4 linked regions of the Yarrowia lipolytica genome follow. The main gene of each other region encodes a partner of the protein of the gene in region 2 in a complex. Links are inferred from orthologs where the notes say so. Each region holds a gene or a part of one and is shown on either strand. Other genes may lie near its edges.

Region 1 (4,411 bases), on a different chromosome or scaffold from region 2:
TTGCCGCATTATGAACCAAGCATATACTGTATTTACTGTAAGCATAGGGCACGGAAGTAAAGAAGCTACACTGCCGTTGCCGGAGGAACCACCCATCAGAAAGTACATACTGTACAGTACATATGATAAATGAATGAAAATACGCGGAATTTTGAAAAGGAAAACACCACCCCCTCATAATACCTCGAACCTCTGTTTAGGCGGCATGTGTACCTTTTATGGCTTCCCTCACGACACACGGTCAGCTCCTTGACTTGAGAAATAGAGGGCCCTGAATGCAGCATATTATAGTTGGATGAGTCTAACGCACATTAGTTGAGAGTTGAATGGAGGGGGGCGTTGGTTGGATTTTGGGCACACAGGAATGAGAAGCAAGGAAAGAGAGAGCGAGAAGTGTTGCAGTAGTGAAATACTCGTATATTTCATCTCGTATTTTTTTATAAAATACGTTCTTTGTCGTACCGCTGCAATGCTGCCAATATGCTGATCTGTCTGCGTAGAGAAGCTGTTGTACCAGACGAGTATGCACGTATAGCATGTGTCGATAACGGCTGTAAGTACGAGTATGTATTCGTACGGTACAGTCATATATTCGAGTACGTGTATATGTGTCGCACATCATTAGTCGCGCGTACGCTATAGGTAGGGTCAATAAATTATCATTTATGTTACATGCTGAAGCAGTATCAGTTTCCATCACCCTCCTTCAACTTCTTGGTAGTGCCACGGTCCTTCTGCTCGTCAGCTTTTCGCTTAGGGCCTAGTTGCAATCCGCTGCCCCTCTCCAGCTGTGTGAACGTGCCTGAGGCAAAGAATTTGTTATCCTGGGTGGCCGTCTTGGGTCCCTTGGGTTTACTAAGCTCCATAGACTGCGCCGTAACAGACAAAGACGACTGAAGACCGTCGATCATAGGTTTGGGACGGTTCTTGAGCATCTCCAAACGCGATCGAGCCCCCTTGGACATTCTTGCACGGGTCTTGGAATCAGCTTCAACTCTTCGAGCTGATCCCAGGCCAGCAGCAGAATCCAACATTCCCAGACCCACGGTCTCTCCGTAAACGTCCACAGTCTTTTCGGCCTCTCCGAACGCCATTCGGTTGGCAGCAGCAGCCATTTCACTCTGCTTGAACTGCTCCTTGAACTTTCTGATCCGCTTTCCACCTCGCTTCTTTGAGGGTTTGTCGATAGGAACAGGTAGGGCCTTGACTCCCTTTATCTCCGGGGGCTCTGCTAGTTTCTGCAACTTTCCTTCAATCTCCTCTCGCATTTTAGATCCGAACGATCCATCTGTAGATGCTCTAGAGGCATCCAAACGGGCTGCAAGTACTAGCTTGGCTGACAACATTCGCATGGCCTGCTTTCTGATATCAGCAGGACTCTGTTGTACCACATCCGAGTAATACAAGTAACCCTGCTGTCTTTGTGCTTGTCCAAACCCCACCGCAGTCTCTCGCTTAGCTCCTAGAGAAGGTATGTTGCAAGAGGGGGTCTTTGCCAGACCGTTGAGACCACCCACAAATCCAAGAATCTGAGCTGCACAATGAGCACCAATCAGAATGGCCGTATTGGGTGCAACGAGGTTCAGTTTCGAGGAGACATAGTTAGTGATTTGGCGCTTAGCAGCGTCCAATGCTATCAGTAGCTTACAAGCTTCGTTTATAGTGGCCATCTCAACGTCCGAGAGTCGTCGTCCCCCTTGGTCCACAGTCATGGTAATAGTCATCATCACTGACTTGTGCACCACCTGTTTTAAGTGCGGGCTATCTGACTTTGCCACTGCTGCGGGATCGTTTCCAAGAATGGCCACTACCTGTGCATGCTGTAGTGGGTTGGCGATGAGTGATCTGAGCTCGGGGTACCGCTGGCTGTATCTAGTGGCGATGAAGTTGTGCAGCTCAGCTACTGCGTTGTCGATTTCCACCGAGTACTCGTTTGCTCCCACAATCACATGGTACTCTGGATTCTCTTCTAGATTTGATGTGAGTGCGAGAGTTGACTGAGTGGCACCACTTTCGTACAGAGAAATGCTTCTGAGTTGTGGCAGAAGTCTGGGGACCATTGCTGCCGAGTTGGTGGACCCCAGCAGGTCCAGGTTGATGTTATTGAGTGGAGTAGGCGACAGAGGTTCTGTGGTTTCGGTTGCAATGACTTCAGTTGGGATCTGGGAAGTCGCATCTTCCATCACCTCGTCCACCTCTTCATTTTCTTCGTCGCTGGAGCCAAAATCGGCCAGAATTTCGTCAGCCAGGCCCATTATGTCGTTGTGGGGGTGAGCTCAGCCTTTTGATGGTGATACAGTAATTGAGGGAGGATGCAATATTTAGAGTTATGATCTTTTCGAACACTTAGAGTTCCGATATGCAGTGGACTTCGAAGTGCAAAGACACCGTGAAACGCGTTATCACAACTACAAGTATTCCTGAACGACACTCAAGTTCCTCTGGAAGCCCTGTAAAAAAAACATGAGCAGAGTCAGCATGTTTCCTACGGAAGACAAACGGTCTTATTTCGAGCGACAACGGGACCAGTACATCAAAAACATCTCGGCCAGCATGGAAGACGTGCTCAACAACCTGAACGCGCTGAACCGTTCGTTGGAACACACTGTGGGCCTGTCTCAAAAGTCTGAAGAGCTCGCAGAAATGTGGAGCCACTTTTACAACACCGTGAATGAGGATCTGGTGAAGACGGAGGACGGAGACATCGAGGTAGACACTACCAAAGAGTAGTGTAATTTGGAGTTGCGAGTTACGAGTAAGGGCCTGATGGACTTGCAGACGATTATTTATAAATGTATTCTAATGAACTGATGAGTGCTTTGAGATGAGTAAATGGCCGGTTTTCAGATTTCGAGTTATGTGATCTAGGTCTATAGTACAAGTATCTACTTGTAGGATTAAAAATTCTACTCTACAGTTTGTACCTCCGTAGATGAACTGGGCCACTGGCACAGTATGCACAAGTAGAGCTACCACACAACTCCTACATTATATGTACTCGTACATATAATAATACGGCTGCTACCGTTCATTGCCGTTACACAGACGTCGCGCCCTCTTGTATCCTTCTCATCATAATGCATTACTATATCACCCCTTGTTAGCTGTGGTTGATGCTTTCTACAACACCAAGCACTGGTGTCGTTTCTTCTTCTTCTTCTTCTCGATCGGTTCCGAGGCTGGTCTGGATTGTAATTTTGGACGTGTGGCTGACGCTGCTGCTGCCGCTGCCCCTTTACTTTGTGATCGCACAGGTTTGGTTCTCTTTGATCTCCCTTTTTCCTTCAGCACCGCTCCCATGGCGACTGCAAACACCTCTCTAACGCCAGACATGTCCTTTGATGAGCACTCCATGTATTTGTACACTCCGAGTCTCTGTGCCATGGATTTGCCCTGCGTCGGCGTGATGTGGCTCAGTCCCTGAGCTTTGAGATAATGGGCGGATGTGGAATCGGCTCTGAGATCGGTTTTGAGACATACCAGCACCACTGGCGTGTCTGGACAGAAATGCGTCACCTCAGGGAACCACTTTTCGGCCACGTTTTCAAACGATGACGGCGAGTCCACGCTGTAGCACACCAGCAGCACATCCACGTCTGGGTACGAGAGTGGTCTGAGCCGGTCGTACTCCTCCTGTCCTGCTGTGTCCCATAACGCCAGCTCGATAATCTCTCCTTTGGGCCCCTTGAGCGTGGTTATGTAGTTCTCAAAGACCGTCGGTATATATCGCTCGGGAAAGACACCCTGCGAGTACGACACCAGCAGACATGTTTTTCCACAGCCTCCATCTCCTACCACCACCACCTTGATGTGGACGTCTGGTTGTGCGGATTCCGCCGTTTCGATGAACTCGAAGCTGCTCGGGTTGGCGGACTCGGATGTGCGGTAGTAGCTGAGTCGCTTGAGGGACGACATTTGCTGTTTTTGTGGCTCTTTAGACGGTCGAAAATAGTGTTGTTTGTTGGAGATGTGCGAATTACCTTTTGTTTGGAAGATCTGTCTTCAGGGGGCTTGTGGAGCTCGACACAAAGACAAAGCGCGTTAAAGGTGAAGAAGTGGCGATTCAAACGTGTTTTTTTGAAAGAGCCGTACACGCGGTGAAAAAATACACGCTCATACACCTTACAAGTACGGCCCGACTCCACTATATATCCGTTGGGGCCTGTCTGTACATGGACCTGCATAAGACGGATCCCACCATATGCCGAACTCTGTGGTCTAAGTTGAACAGGGCTGAGTACAGTGTGTATATCCTGGTAGCACTGAGCGACAGCGGGGCCGAAAGAGGACCAAAAAGCGCCCACATCTGGGAAACATGTGAACTGGAAGCCCTTTGCTTTGTCCATTGCATATTGTACAGTGCTTCTGCTTGTGCTCTCACTCGCACTGCATATCTGTTGGTCGCCTGTCG
Region 2 (3,269 bases):
TTACGTGTGCTTAAGCCCCGGAAAAGCTGAGATGACAGGACACGGAGAAAAAGGAGGTATAGGAACTGATGAAATGATTAATTGTTTAATGAAGCCTGGGTTTTTGGTTTCAGTGAATTATTTAACGAAAACATATCGCTTTCGGAGCAATTTGGGGACTATGAATGATTGACACACAGTCAAGAAACACCATTAGGGTTAACCCCACTAATTAGTTGCAGATGAGATGAAATGTGAAGAAAATTTAGGGAATGTATTTGTATGATTTGAGATGTATTCGAGGTCTTAAAAATAGTAATGGATGAATTATAAGACCTTAAGAGTATTATACGTGCCCATTTGGTCTCGTACTCCCTCATTATACGGACCCCTCGCCTTCGTTTTTTCTTCCAGCCTGATAATTACTCTATCATGACCATATTTACTTGGCCTACAATATTGCTACTGTAGACAAAATTCCCACAGAAGTTACAGTACAGTACCGATACCTGTGCTGTACTCGTACTATCGTGCTCGTGCTCGCAATATCTATTTTACATTCATCATTACATCTAGCCAGCAAATACATACATCATCTTCCTCGTCCCCGTCCGCCCCGGCCTCTGCTGCTTCGCACAGCAGCCAGAGTCTGAGGCCGAAACATGGGCGCGTTCTTCAGCATCTCGGGGATGGAAAAGAACCGCACGTGGGATCCTCGGATGTAAACCTGCTCGAGATGCGACACTCGGCCTCCTCGCGCAGTGACGGTCACGTCTCGAATCTGCACGTTCATGTTATCCTCCGCTGAGTTAGTATGGTGGTCTAAGGGGAAAGTGTTTGGCAGTATATCCAGGTTTCTGAGAAACAGCTGCGAGCCGCATGATCTCGTTTGTTGAAATGAAACGTTTATGCTTGCTTATGGTCGTCCTCTGATAAGCCACGGTCGATTTCAACTCCATCAATGCAGCGACACATAACAAATGGTCCATCTTTCCGCGTAAACCGCTCCATTGAAGCTCCGTTCAGCAGCTTGCCCTATCTGTCGTCTAACCTCCACGAACAATTCGGTCTCTGCGGCACAATCACATGGTGCTAATTTAATATCACATGGATACCCAGCTTCGCGAGATTCTGAGCGAGCGAGCAACACCAAGCTGAAGCGAGGTCCTGACTCCGCTGACATCCCTCAAGTTGCCACAATACCCTTATTCTGTACTCACCTTCAATCAATTTTCCCCGATAAGTGTGTCCTGAAGTGAGCTCAACGGTGACAACATGACCCTGTGTTAGTTATGTTCTGGGGTGTGTGGCGACACAAAAGTCGTGCCCATACGCCATTTGCTGCATCATGTCAACTCCTCCTCTGTTTTTCTTTACTCACCTGAGCCTCGCTGAGGAGTTTTAATGGAATTCCGCCAGCTCCCATAGTGTGATGTGTGGTGCTGCAGAAATGTTCATCGGGATAGAGTTGGTGTAGCACACGAGGAGTGGTGGCGAGGCTAAACTTTTAGAATAGGGAAGAGTGCTACGAAATGCGATATATGGCTGACTGTTGGGGGTACAAGCTTCGTTTAACCGAATTATTGGTGAGAAAGAGCTCTCCGTGATTATGACAAGATAAACAAGTTCCTGTCAATATTAGTTGACGAAGAAGAACGAAAAAGGGTTCCAGTTTGTGACTATTGTAGCTATGGTATGTTCACTTGTAATTAGATAATTCGTCTGATCTCTTTTTCAGCAGTGTTTCATTCTTCTAAATTACCATCTTTTTTTATTACTGGGCTACATTGTTGTCTTTATATCGTCTTGTTTTTACGTGGTGGTTTTTTATTTATTTATATACAGTATCATCATATATTGTACAAGTGAATTGTACAATTTTTATAACATAATATAAGTATGTATTGTACTGTACATTCTGTATATTGTACAATTTTTTTTTTCTGCATATACATTCATTTAATTATACAAGTACAAGTACAAGTAGCTACTGTATAATTATACTGTATGTAATTTTTTGGCCTGTCTTATCCCCCTGTTCACATTTTAAGGTGACTATCAACTGACGTTAATCAGCCATGTACAGAGATCAGATATCCAGGATGATATAGCGCCAGGCCGAAACATGCTGGGAAAAGCAAATCGTCAACTTTCTGACCATGAGAGAAGTAATTCTCACATCTCCCTTAATCAGCATGAATGTTTCTACAGATAATCTACTTCCCAGCATTCATACAAATACTGTATTCACATTTTGTAGGTCCTATGGAACTCCATCCAACTACCCTCCATTAAGCTCGCTGGACATCTGCATGCACAGCTCAGCTCCACATCACCAACACCAGCCCTACAAGTAATTATCGCACCAGCATGGACTTTCCCCCGGAACCTAACCGAGCTGTGGAAAGCGAAAAGTTTGCGGTCGAGCCCGTGCAGTTCCAGTTCGCCATCTCGTCGATCGTGGCTCTGGCGGTGGCCAACAACACTCTCTGTCTGGCGCTCAAGTCTGGGCGAATCATTCGAATTGACCTCGACAACCCCGAAAGCGTGGATGACGTGGACGTCAAGGACGGCGGATGTGACATTGAGAACCTGTTTCTCGACCCCACCGGCTCCTACTTACTCATCGCCACCAAGACCCGCGACAATTATGTGCTCAACTACCAAACGACAAAGGTCAAGTCTCTGGGCCGATTGAGAGACCTGGCAATCACATGCGTGGCATGGTCCCCCATCGAAAGCTCTCTGAGCTCAGGAGAGGTGCTACTGGGAACGGCAGACGGCTGCGTCTACGAGACATGCTTGGAGTTCTCGGACGAGTACTTCAAGCGGGAAGACAGATACGTGCGCAAGGTAGCCGAGTTCAAAGCTGCCGATAGCCACGTGGTGACACCCATCACCGGAATCGTTGTTCAGCTCGGATCCAGCCCAAATTACAGAAAAATCATTGTGACAAACGCCAATGGACATGCCTACTATTACTCTGGCAAGATCTCTGCCCACCTGCAGGACGGTATTCCCGTCTACACCAAGTTCTTTGAGCGTGAAGAACACGTAGATCAGGAGTTTGGTGCCGATAACGGAAGAGCTGCCATGTTGTCAGCCACTCCTCCTGACCCCAAGTCCTCATCTTGGGCCTTTGCTCTGCTTTCAGAGGTCGGTATTGTGCACAGAACAATCAAGAAGGACGAAAATGACACTTTGGAGTCACGGAAGACCTTCTTTCAAGGATCCAATATTTACATTCTCAACCAGATCCAGGAATCTTCTATTGTGGGTATGTGTCTGAC
Region 3 (3,313 bases), on a different chromosome or scaffold from region 2:
CCTGGTCATCACGTGCTCGCCTAGAGCTGCAACATGTGACCGCTTTGAATTTTATCACGTGCTCTCATGGATTGGCCAGCCTCCCCTCTTTAGTTCTTAGGCGATCTCCTACTTCGGCGCTGCTGAGATTGCTGTTGGTTCCGCCAAAATTGCTTGAGGGTCTCACTGACATTCAAAGTGGGATTTCTGTTGCTACAGCTGTTTCTAATCCCGAGTGGACTTGGGCTATATGGAGCCGACGGTGACTTCCATCGATTCCCAGCACCGGTGCGCCAAGGATACCAAGAAGATCCTCAAGGTCTTTCTTTCTCAGGCAAGCAGGAATACCGACTCGAATGTACCAGTGGAGCAGACTCGGTCCCGAGTGTTCAACCGGCGGCCAATCAGAAATGAACTGGAGCTATCAAGGAACCCTTTTTCCAGATCTGTTGCCCTGAACCGAACCGGGCCAGTCGTCTTAGCTTTCTTCTGGTACTACTTACGTTTCTCTCTCAAGTTCCAGCGGGGTTACTTCTGACTGCGCTAGTGTCCCTCAGCTCTAGAGAATCTCCTTCACATCGCTAATACTGAATAATTTATTATACAAGGTAGACGGGGTCTACTGGATTCGTTCAAGGGCCTCCAGCATGACCACAGAGTTGCCTCGAATCACAGCCATGCCGGCCTGTACCTTGTCTCCATTGGCCTTTTCCTCCACAGATTCCTCCAGAACAATGTTTAGGAATGCCTGAGTTAGTACGTAGCGGTAGTGGGAGCATCATAGATGAATGAAGTCGAAAATCGGCTGACAGACCAATAATGCGCGGAATCCGTTGTGTCTAGATTCGTTGAAGACAGTCATTAAAGGCCCGGGCTGTTCATTGAGACAGATGATGTTCAGAAACAACTCAGACAGAGCAGGATTTTGTTGACCAGCCAGACATGTGAGAAGAATTGACCGAGTAGGAAACGAGCTGAAATGACATGTGTCGGCATTCGCGGAGGTCCAGTTGTCTCCAGCTAACTCATATCCAGTTTGTTGACAGTAGTCCAACCACCAGGTATATATCTCTGTGGTAGAGCTCTGGTTGAGTCGATTCGTTCTACCTGTCAGTCTCTAGACGTAGAGACACATCTCAGATCTCAATCCAGCGCTAGTCAAAACAGCTCGACTCTGTCACTACTCCATCTGACTATCCATCAGTACCTCGGTCATCATCGTACTCTCCTTCCTCAATACTCACATCATATCCTCGCAAAACACCAATGATCTTACGCTCGCCGTTGAGATGGACAATGAGACGCTTGTCCATGTACTGTGTTAGTCACGTGACCGAAAATAATCCCGCTGGCTAGCTGCCGTACTCACGTTTTTCAGCTCCGGAACGCTGGTTCCCATTCTTGTGTAATGTGGTGGTGCTGGTGAGATGAGATGAGATGGAGCCGTCACGTGAAGTTTTCTGCAGTCTAGAGTTTGTTAGTCAGCAGAGTGTTGGTGGGAGAGAGAAGGGTAAGGGAGTCACGTGATATATATGGATTTTGTAGTGGTTTGACGAGCAATGCTGTAGTTTTGTTCTCTTGTTTGGTTTCGTTGAGTGTTTTTATTGATTTTAATTAGTGTGTGATTTTTTATAATTGTTTTAGTTTCGATAAAATTCACTGCTAGAACAATAAAAAATAAAAAATAGTTGGAGTTTCGATGTTTCTAAATTTTTAATTTGAAATATGATAAGTCCGGAAAGATAGGAGATCAGAAATGGAGGAAAAATAACAGGGGAAATCAACTCCTTCTATTTGGGATTCATCAGCAAAAGTACTTAATAATCCCCCTTTTTTGTGCTCTTAACCTCACTTCTCACGGTCCCTCCGATGTCGTCGCGTCCTCCCTCCAATCATGAATGTGGTGAGCCAACACGTGGGTGGACAACTGCATTTGATATGTACGATTGTGCGAGGTGATTTGACCAAGAAGAGTGGTGGACCGGAATTTGGGGTCACGTGATTGAGTGGGGCTCGGAGTGGAGGGTTGTATTTAAATGTGCCAATATCAGTTTTATTGTCTTGTTCTTGTATTCATCTCAGCTCTTCACTCTGGATTTCTGAAGCTGTAAAAATCACTTTTGTTTCTTGTTTGAGGATGCAGTTTGAACAGAGTTTCGGTTGGTTTTTCGATACGATTTGGGAGGTGCCGCGATCGAAGGATGTTTGGGTGACTCTCTGGGGGGGGGGGGTTGTCCGGTGACCGGGAGTCGCCCGTTTTCGAGTGTGTCATGGTCATCTTGGATCTCGTCTCGCCTTTCTCTCGGCGACGTTATAAGTGTCTGTTATGACTGGGTCCTATTCCTGCCCGTGATACTTTCTGTCAGATACGAAAACTATATTGGCATCTTGCGGCAGTGGCGGGGAGCTGTTGAAGGTCGTCGAATAGGGCCTTTGAGGACAGATGTCGGCATTCGGAAAACGGCGAAACACAGCTGCGGGCCTTTGGAGTCGTTGTGTCAAAATTAGGCGCTCAAAACGTCTCTTCATCGGCGCTTTTCCGCTAGTGCCAAATCGGCCTTTTGTCGACACTAACACAAACTTTATGCACCGCCAACCACTAAACTTGGGGGACACTGTCGACGACAATTCCTCTTCATCATCAGAACCGTATTGAAAGTGAGTATGACGTTGGGGGGTTAGTGACACAGACGGAGTGCACAGGGGCGAGGTGTTGATGACGGAGTGCACAGGGGCGAGGTGTTGATGACAGAGAGACATGGCAACGGTAGCAAAACACAGAAACATGGCGGCCATGGTGTCGACAGCTGACGCCAGTGGTTTGTGTCGGAGCTGTTGATGCCAGTGCCTCGTATCTCGACTGTGGTCTCCTCGTACAACCATTTCCTGAATCCAGGTATGTCTCATGGAACTACAGTGTCCTTGCGGTACAGTGTTCCATGTGGTAGTGGGGGTGACTGCGTACATGTATGCGACTCCCAAGAAAACTCGATGTCCGACCACATCTCACATCTTCCCCGACGCTGTTCATATACCCTTGCTGTGATCCTGGTCCCTGCATCTGTGTCCACCAGAACTATCCACTTTAGTTGCTGGTTTGACATGTCGTTATTATTGTTCAACTCGTCTGTGACTAGCCAATCATGTCCTCGGGGTGCCGAGGATGCTCTACTCCTTGAGTCTCGTCCAACCGAGCTTCGGTCGGCTAGAAACCCTCAAGCAAAGAACCCCGCTAACCCAGATGCTCTTCGGCGTTCGCCTTCAAAACGAAATCTACGAGCCGTGGAAGGACCACTACATCAACTACGACTCGCTCAAGCGACTTCTCCGGGAG
Region 4 (3,719 bases), on a different chromosome or scaffold from region 2:
CCCGCAAGACACAGCTCCAAGTGTTTCTGCGTAAATATTACCCTCTGGACGTGCTGGTCATGTTGAAGGACATTAACCGAGTGTTTGCAACCGACAGCACAGAGGTGACGCTTCTGGAACAGTTGGATCCAGTTCTACGAACGGTCAAGTCTCGAGACTCACACAGTAAGCATGTCAATCTCTATGTCGGTCAGGTGGTGCATCATACTCGTCTGGATCTCTATGGCATTGTCGTTTCGTGGTTTGTGAATTCCGAAACAGCTTATGAAGAAACAGCTCAGATTCCCAACCGAGAGATCGACGTGGGCATGGAGGAGTCAGAGGCATACTACCAGGTGGTGGTCGATGGAGTTGGGGAAAAGAGGGTGTTTGCAGAGTCCAATCTGGTGGTTGTGGACGAGACTTCAGGGTTGGACATCATGGACACATTCTCGCATCTCCATGGACTGTGTCTCATGTTCAGGGGATGGAATAAGGAGGAGTATCGCTTTGAGATGACCGAGGTAATGAAGAGGTGTTATCCGGGCGATGCAAAACACTTCTGAGGAGTGCGATGAAGAGTGCAATTGACGGCAACCCTTCCCTATTACCACCACTATCAAGAGTCTCATTGACCAAGTAGTAGACCAACCAGAGCCGCTTAAAATGGTTACGGGACTAACGTATATATGCCTACTGCCTATTTATTTTATTCAATGCGCGATGCTAATACAGCGGTGGTGGATGTCCATTTTACAGCCACATCTACAAGTACCCCCTCCTTCAAATGCATAAATAATTACTATACAACCTCCCTTTCATGCAGAAACGACGAGAATGACGGTGTCGCCTCGCAGAAACATTTTGCTGATGAACCGATCCTTGGTGACGGTCTTGCCGGGCTTGCCGCTGGCGGTTTTCGTTTTTTCCGTCCACATCTCCTTCACGTTCTCCAGCACCATGTTGGAGTGCCGGTCAAACGCCTTGACTCGGGCCAGCAGCTTTTTGTTGTTTCGGCACGATATCAGCACCTGTGTGTGGTTCTGTACTGCCCGCTGCAGCAGCGACAGGGGGCCATGTGAGAACTCGTACTCCTCGAGCTTTTGGAGCTCCACGTCGGTGAGAGTGGACTTGTCCTTGTTTAGGAGTTCACTGGGTTAGTATAAGACGGGTGTGAGGATCGCAGGTCTGGTAGACAACAGTAGAAGATGCATTGTGCGCCTGAGGATATGTCTGGTCTGTCTGTATCGGACGTCAGGCACAATCAAGGATGATGAATAGAGCCAAGATTAGGCATGTTGAACAATGGCGAAACTAGGGAGACGGTGGTATAACTGTCCCCCATATATGTCTGTGTGACCGCCAGTCAAGCATCCTGCTGTTTGCTGATGTTTGTACCATTCATCTTGCTTATTGTTTCATGCTCGTGTGTCATGAATCGTGAGACAATCCGCAGTGAACGTTACAACCAAGATACCGTGCTCACAGTGCCGTTCGCGAAGTGCCATGTTAGGGATGTCGTTCGGAGTGGTAGGAGTGATTGCGGGCGTGCGTCTTGGGCAGTCATGCTTTCATCTGACTGTTACATGAGACTATTAACCTAGTAAAGAAGTTGATTAAGGCATTCACAGCTTCTCAAAAAGTCAATCCCTTCACTTAACGCTGTCACAACTCTCCGTTCGGGTCCAAACAATAACAGTGTCTGCTTGTCGCACACCGTTCATTCTTGGGTTCCACAAATCACTTCACAATCGCATCATCCATCACGTATTCCAGCCATCATTTGGTCCGTCTCGTTTGATCATCCTCCCCAAATCCCGCTTTTCTCGTTATACTCACGCTGGGTTGTCCATCTGTGCTGTTTTTATGTGGTTTTGCGTGGTGTAAAGTGGTGATGTACACACGGTGATAGGATTTCATGCATAGTGAAGGAGTGATGATTTTTGCGTTCGGCAGAATTTAAAGTTTATGCAGTCATGTGACCAGATTCCAAAATAACTGAGTCTGATCCAGCCCTCATGAGAAGAAGCCAGCGAGTACCACACACAGACACAAAGACACCAAGACCGACACTGCAATTTGACTGCCTCTCTGTCACATCTCATGTCCTGATTTGCCACCGTTCTGCTCATGCACCTCACCGTATCTCAACACACATCTTACACGCACCCTCATATCAACACACACACAACATGAAGTTCACGGCATCGACGTCTTATAGAGTGGGCAAACGACGGGCCAAGGAGCCGCCTCTAATGCCCGGCCAGGCGGCGTTCATCAACCAGCTCGAAAAACAAAAGGCCGACTACCTGAAGGCAAACCAACAGGAGAAGCTGCCAGTGACGTCTCTCAAGAGCGATCTCAAGTGGAAGAACCAGGAGAAGCAGGACAGTCTGGGAGACGACATTGTGCAGGTGGTGAGAGAGATTCTGGATAACATGTACGAGGAGATTCCAATCGGAAAGGCGTACACAGCTCCTACTTATGAAGCTCGTCAGAACGTGCCTCCTCTAGTCAAGATGACCCATGTGCACGCATACAGCCTGAGAGAGCCTACGTTGGTCTTGAGACGGGTGAACGACGCCGTCGAGGCAGGACTACTGCGAAAAGTGGCAGTCAATAACGTTGATGAAGGCGTGCTTCTAATGGAGGCAGACAAGTTCTACAAGCTGCTGGATCAGAGCATACAAGAGTGCAAGGTGGCAAATCAGAAGAAGGCTCTGGAGGAATTCAAGATCCTTTTATTGTCCCATCCAAGTCGGGTGGAGTTTGGCTTCGATGAACTTCCCAATGCTTCTACTCTCGTCAAGAGCGGGTTTCTGACCATGAATCCTCAAGAGGCTCAAATGTACAATGTCTGTGTGCCTAACGTGGGTGTGTTTCTGAAACTGGGTGCCTCTGCACGAACATGGTTTATAAACATGCTCAAAAAGCAGTCGTACCAGGAAATGTTAGAGGAGCAGATGGAGAAGAAGTGGAGTGCTAATAGCAACCGCTGGAAGGGCTTCAAGGGCGTTTCTTTCGAATGGATTCTGAAGGATCTCTATGGAGGCTACCACTGTGAATGTTTCAGTACCCCTGTGGGAAGAGGTTGGAAGTTGACCGGAAAGTAGAGAGCCCCCGGTATGTATCTATTTATTGCATTGTTTTTTTGTTGTTTATTGCTTATTGCTTATCAAGTGAATTGGATGGGGGAAAATCGGAAGAATGGGTAGTATTATGACATACTACAAGCAGACAGAGAGAGGGGTATTTTGAACCAGATTACAGGTTGTTTATCACCAATTAATGGCTACTCTCGTAGTTTGGCATTTCTACAAATTTTAGACGGAAATTATATAAATCTGGTGTTGTGCATATTTCATGCATCATGCCACGCGTGTCTTGATTTCTTGTGACTTCAGTTCCACACTTCATGACGACACAAAAGGGCTTATTGCAACGCGTCCAGCTGTATCGAAAGCGCGTGGCTGCTCTTGAAGAGGAGATACGCAAGCTAGAAAGCTCTCAGAGTGCCGAAAACGACGCTCAGGAGCTCGTACAGCAGCTGCTCACCAGCAACAACGACAAGATAGATACTCAGCAACTGGAAGGAGAAATTGGAGCCCAGCTGAACAAGGAAATCACCTCGAATCGCCAATTACAGACGGCTTTCCATACCCTGAAATTGTCGATTGGCGACTCCTACTGGACGGGTGAAAGTCACCATGTTTCCATCATTCACGTTTCAGGACACTCAT

Evidence for each region.
Region 1: YALI1_A19974g (region 2) and YALI1_B18207g share a complex: the UniProt entries of both Saccharomyces cerevisiae proteins name them as parts of the U4/U6-U5 tri-snRNP complex. The link is inferred for Yarrowia lipolytica from reciprocal best matches to the Saccharomyces cerevisiae genes SMD3 and PRP31.
Region 3: YALI1_A19974g (region 2) and YALI1_C14516g share a complex: the UniProt entries of both Saccharomyces cerevisiae proteins name them as parts of the sm core complex. The link is inferred for Yarrowia lipolytica from reciprocal best matches to the Saccharomyces cerevisiae genes SMD3 and SMX2.
Region 4: YALI1_A19974g (region 2) and YALI1_F09803g share a complex: the UniProt entries of both Saccharomyces cerevisiae proteins name them as parts of the sm core complex. The link is inferred for Yarrowia lipolytica from reciprocal best matches to the Saccharomyces cerevisiae genes SMD3 and SMD2.

Annotation. Positions count from the first base shown.
Region 1 is NC_090771.1:1,818,603-1,823,013, reverse strand, and holds YALI1_B18207g (uncharacterized protein), read right to left. Parts: upstream 2,256-4,411; coding exon 687-2,255; downstream 1-686. Other genes in the region: YALI1_B18205g (uncharacterized protein), read left to right, coding at 2,464-2,730; YALI1_B18190g (uncharacterized protein), read right to left, coding at 3,121-3,915. UniProt on the Saccharomyces cerevisiae protein: Promotes the association of the U4/U6.U5 tri-snRNP particle with pre-spliceosomes to form the mature spliceosomal complex.
Region 2 is NC_090770.1:1,995,526-1,998,794, reverse strand, and holds YALI1_A19974g (uncharacterized protein), read right to left. Parts: upstream 1,406-3,269; coding exon 1,361-1,405; intron 1,261-1,360; coding exon 1,200-1,260; intron 784-1,199; coding exon 572-783; downstream 1-571. Other genes in the region: YALI1_A19965g (uncharacterized protein), read left to right, coding at 2,350-3,269. UniProt on the Saccharomyces cerevisiae protein: Plays a role in pre-mRNA splicing as a core component of the spliceosomal U1, U2, U4 and U5 small nuclear ribonucleoproteins (snRNPs), the building blocks of the spliceosome. Also binds telomerase RNA and is required for its accumulation.
Region 3 is NC_090772.1:1,449,709-1,453,021, reverse strand, and holds YALI1_C14516g (uncharacterized protein), read right to left. Parts: upstream 1,379-3,313; coding exon 1,349-1,378; intron 1,296-1,348; coding exon 1,224-1,295; intron 728-1,223; coding exon 599-727; downstream 1-598. Other genes in the region: YALI1_C14500g (uncharacterized protein), read right to left, coding at 2,317-2,946; YALI1_C14498g (uncharacterized protein), read left to right, coding at 3,143-3,313. UniProt on the Saccharomyces cerevisiae protein: Plays a role in pre-mRNA splicing as a core component of the spliceosomal U1, U2, U4 and U5 small nuclear ribonucleoproteins (snRNPs), the building blocks of the spliceosome.
Region 4 is NC_090775.1:978,495-982,213, reverse strand, and holds YALI1_F09803g (uncharacterized protein), read right to left. Parts: upstream 1,833-3,719; coding exon 1,819-1,832; intron 1,132-1,818; coding exon 798-1,131; downstream 1-797. Other genes in the region: YALI1_F09833g (uncharacterized protein), read left to right, coding at 1-545; YALI1_F09802g (uncharacterized protein), read left to right, coding at 1,998-3,092; YALI1_F09788g (uncharacterized protein), read left to right, coding at 3,395-3,719. UniProt on the Saccharomyces cerevisiae protein: Plays a role in pre-mRNA splicing as a core component of the spliceosomal U1, U2, U4 and U5 small nuclear ribonucleoproteins (snRNPs), the building blocks of the spliceosome.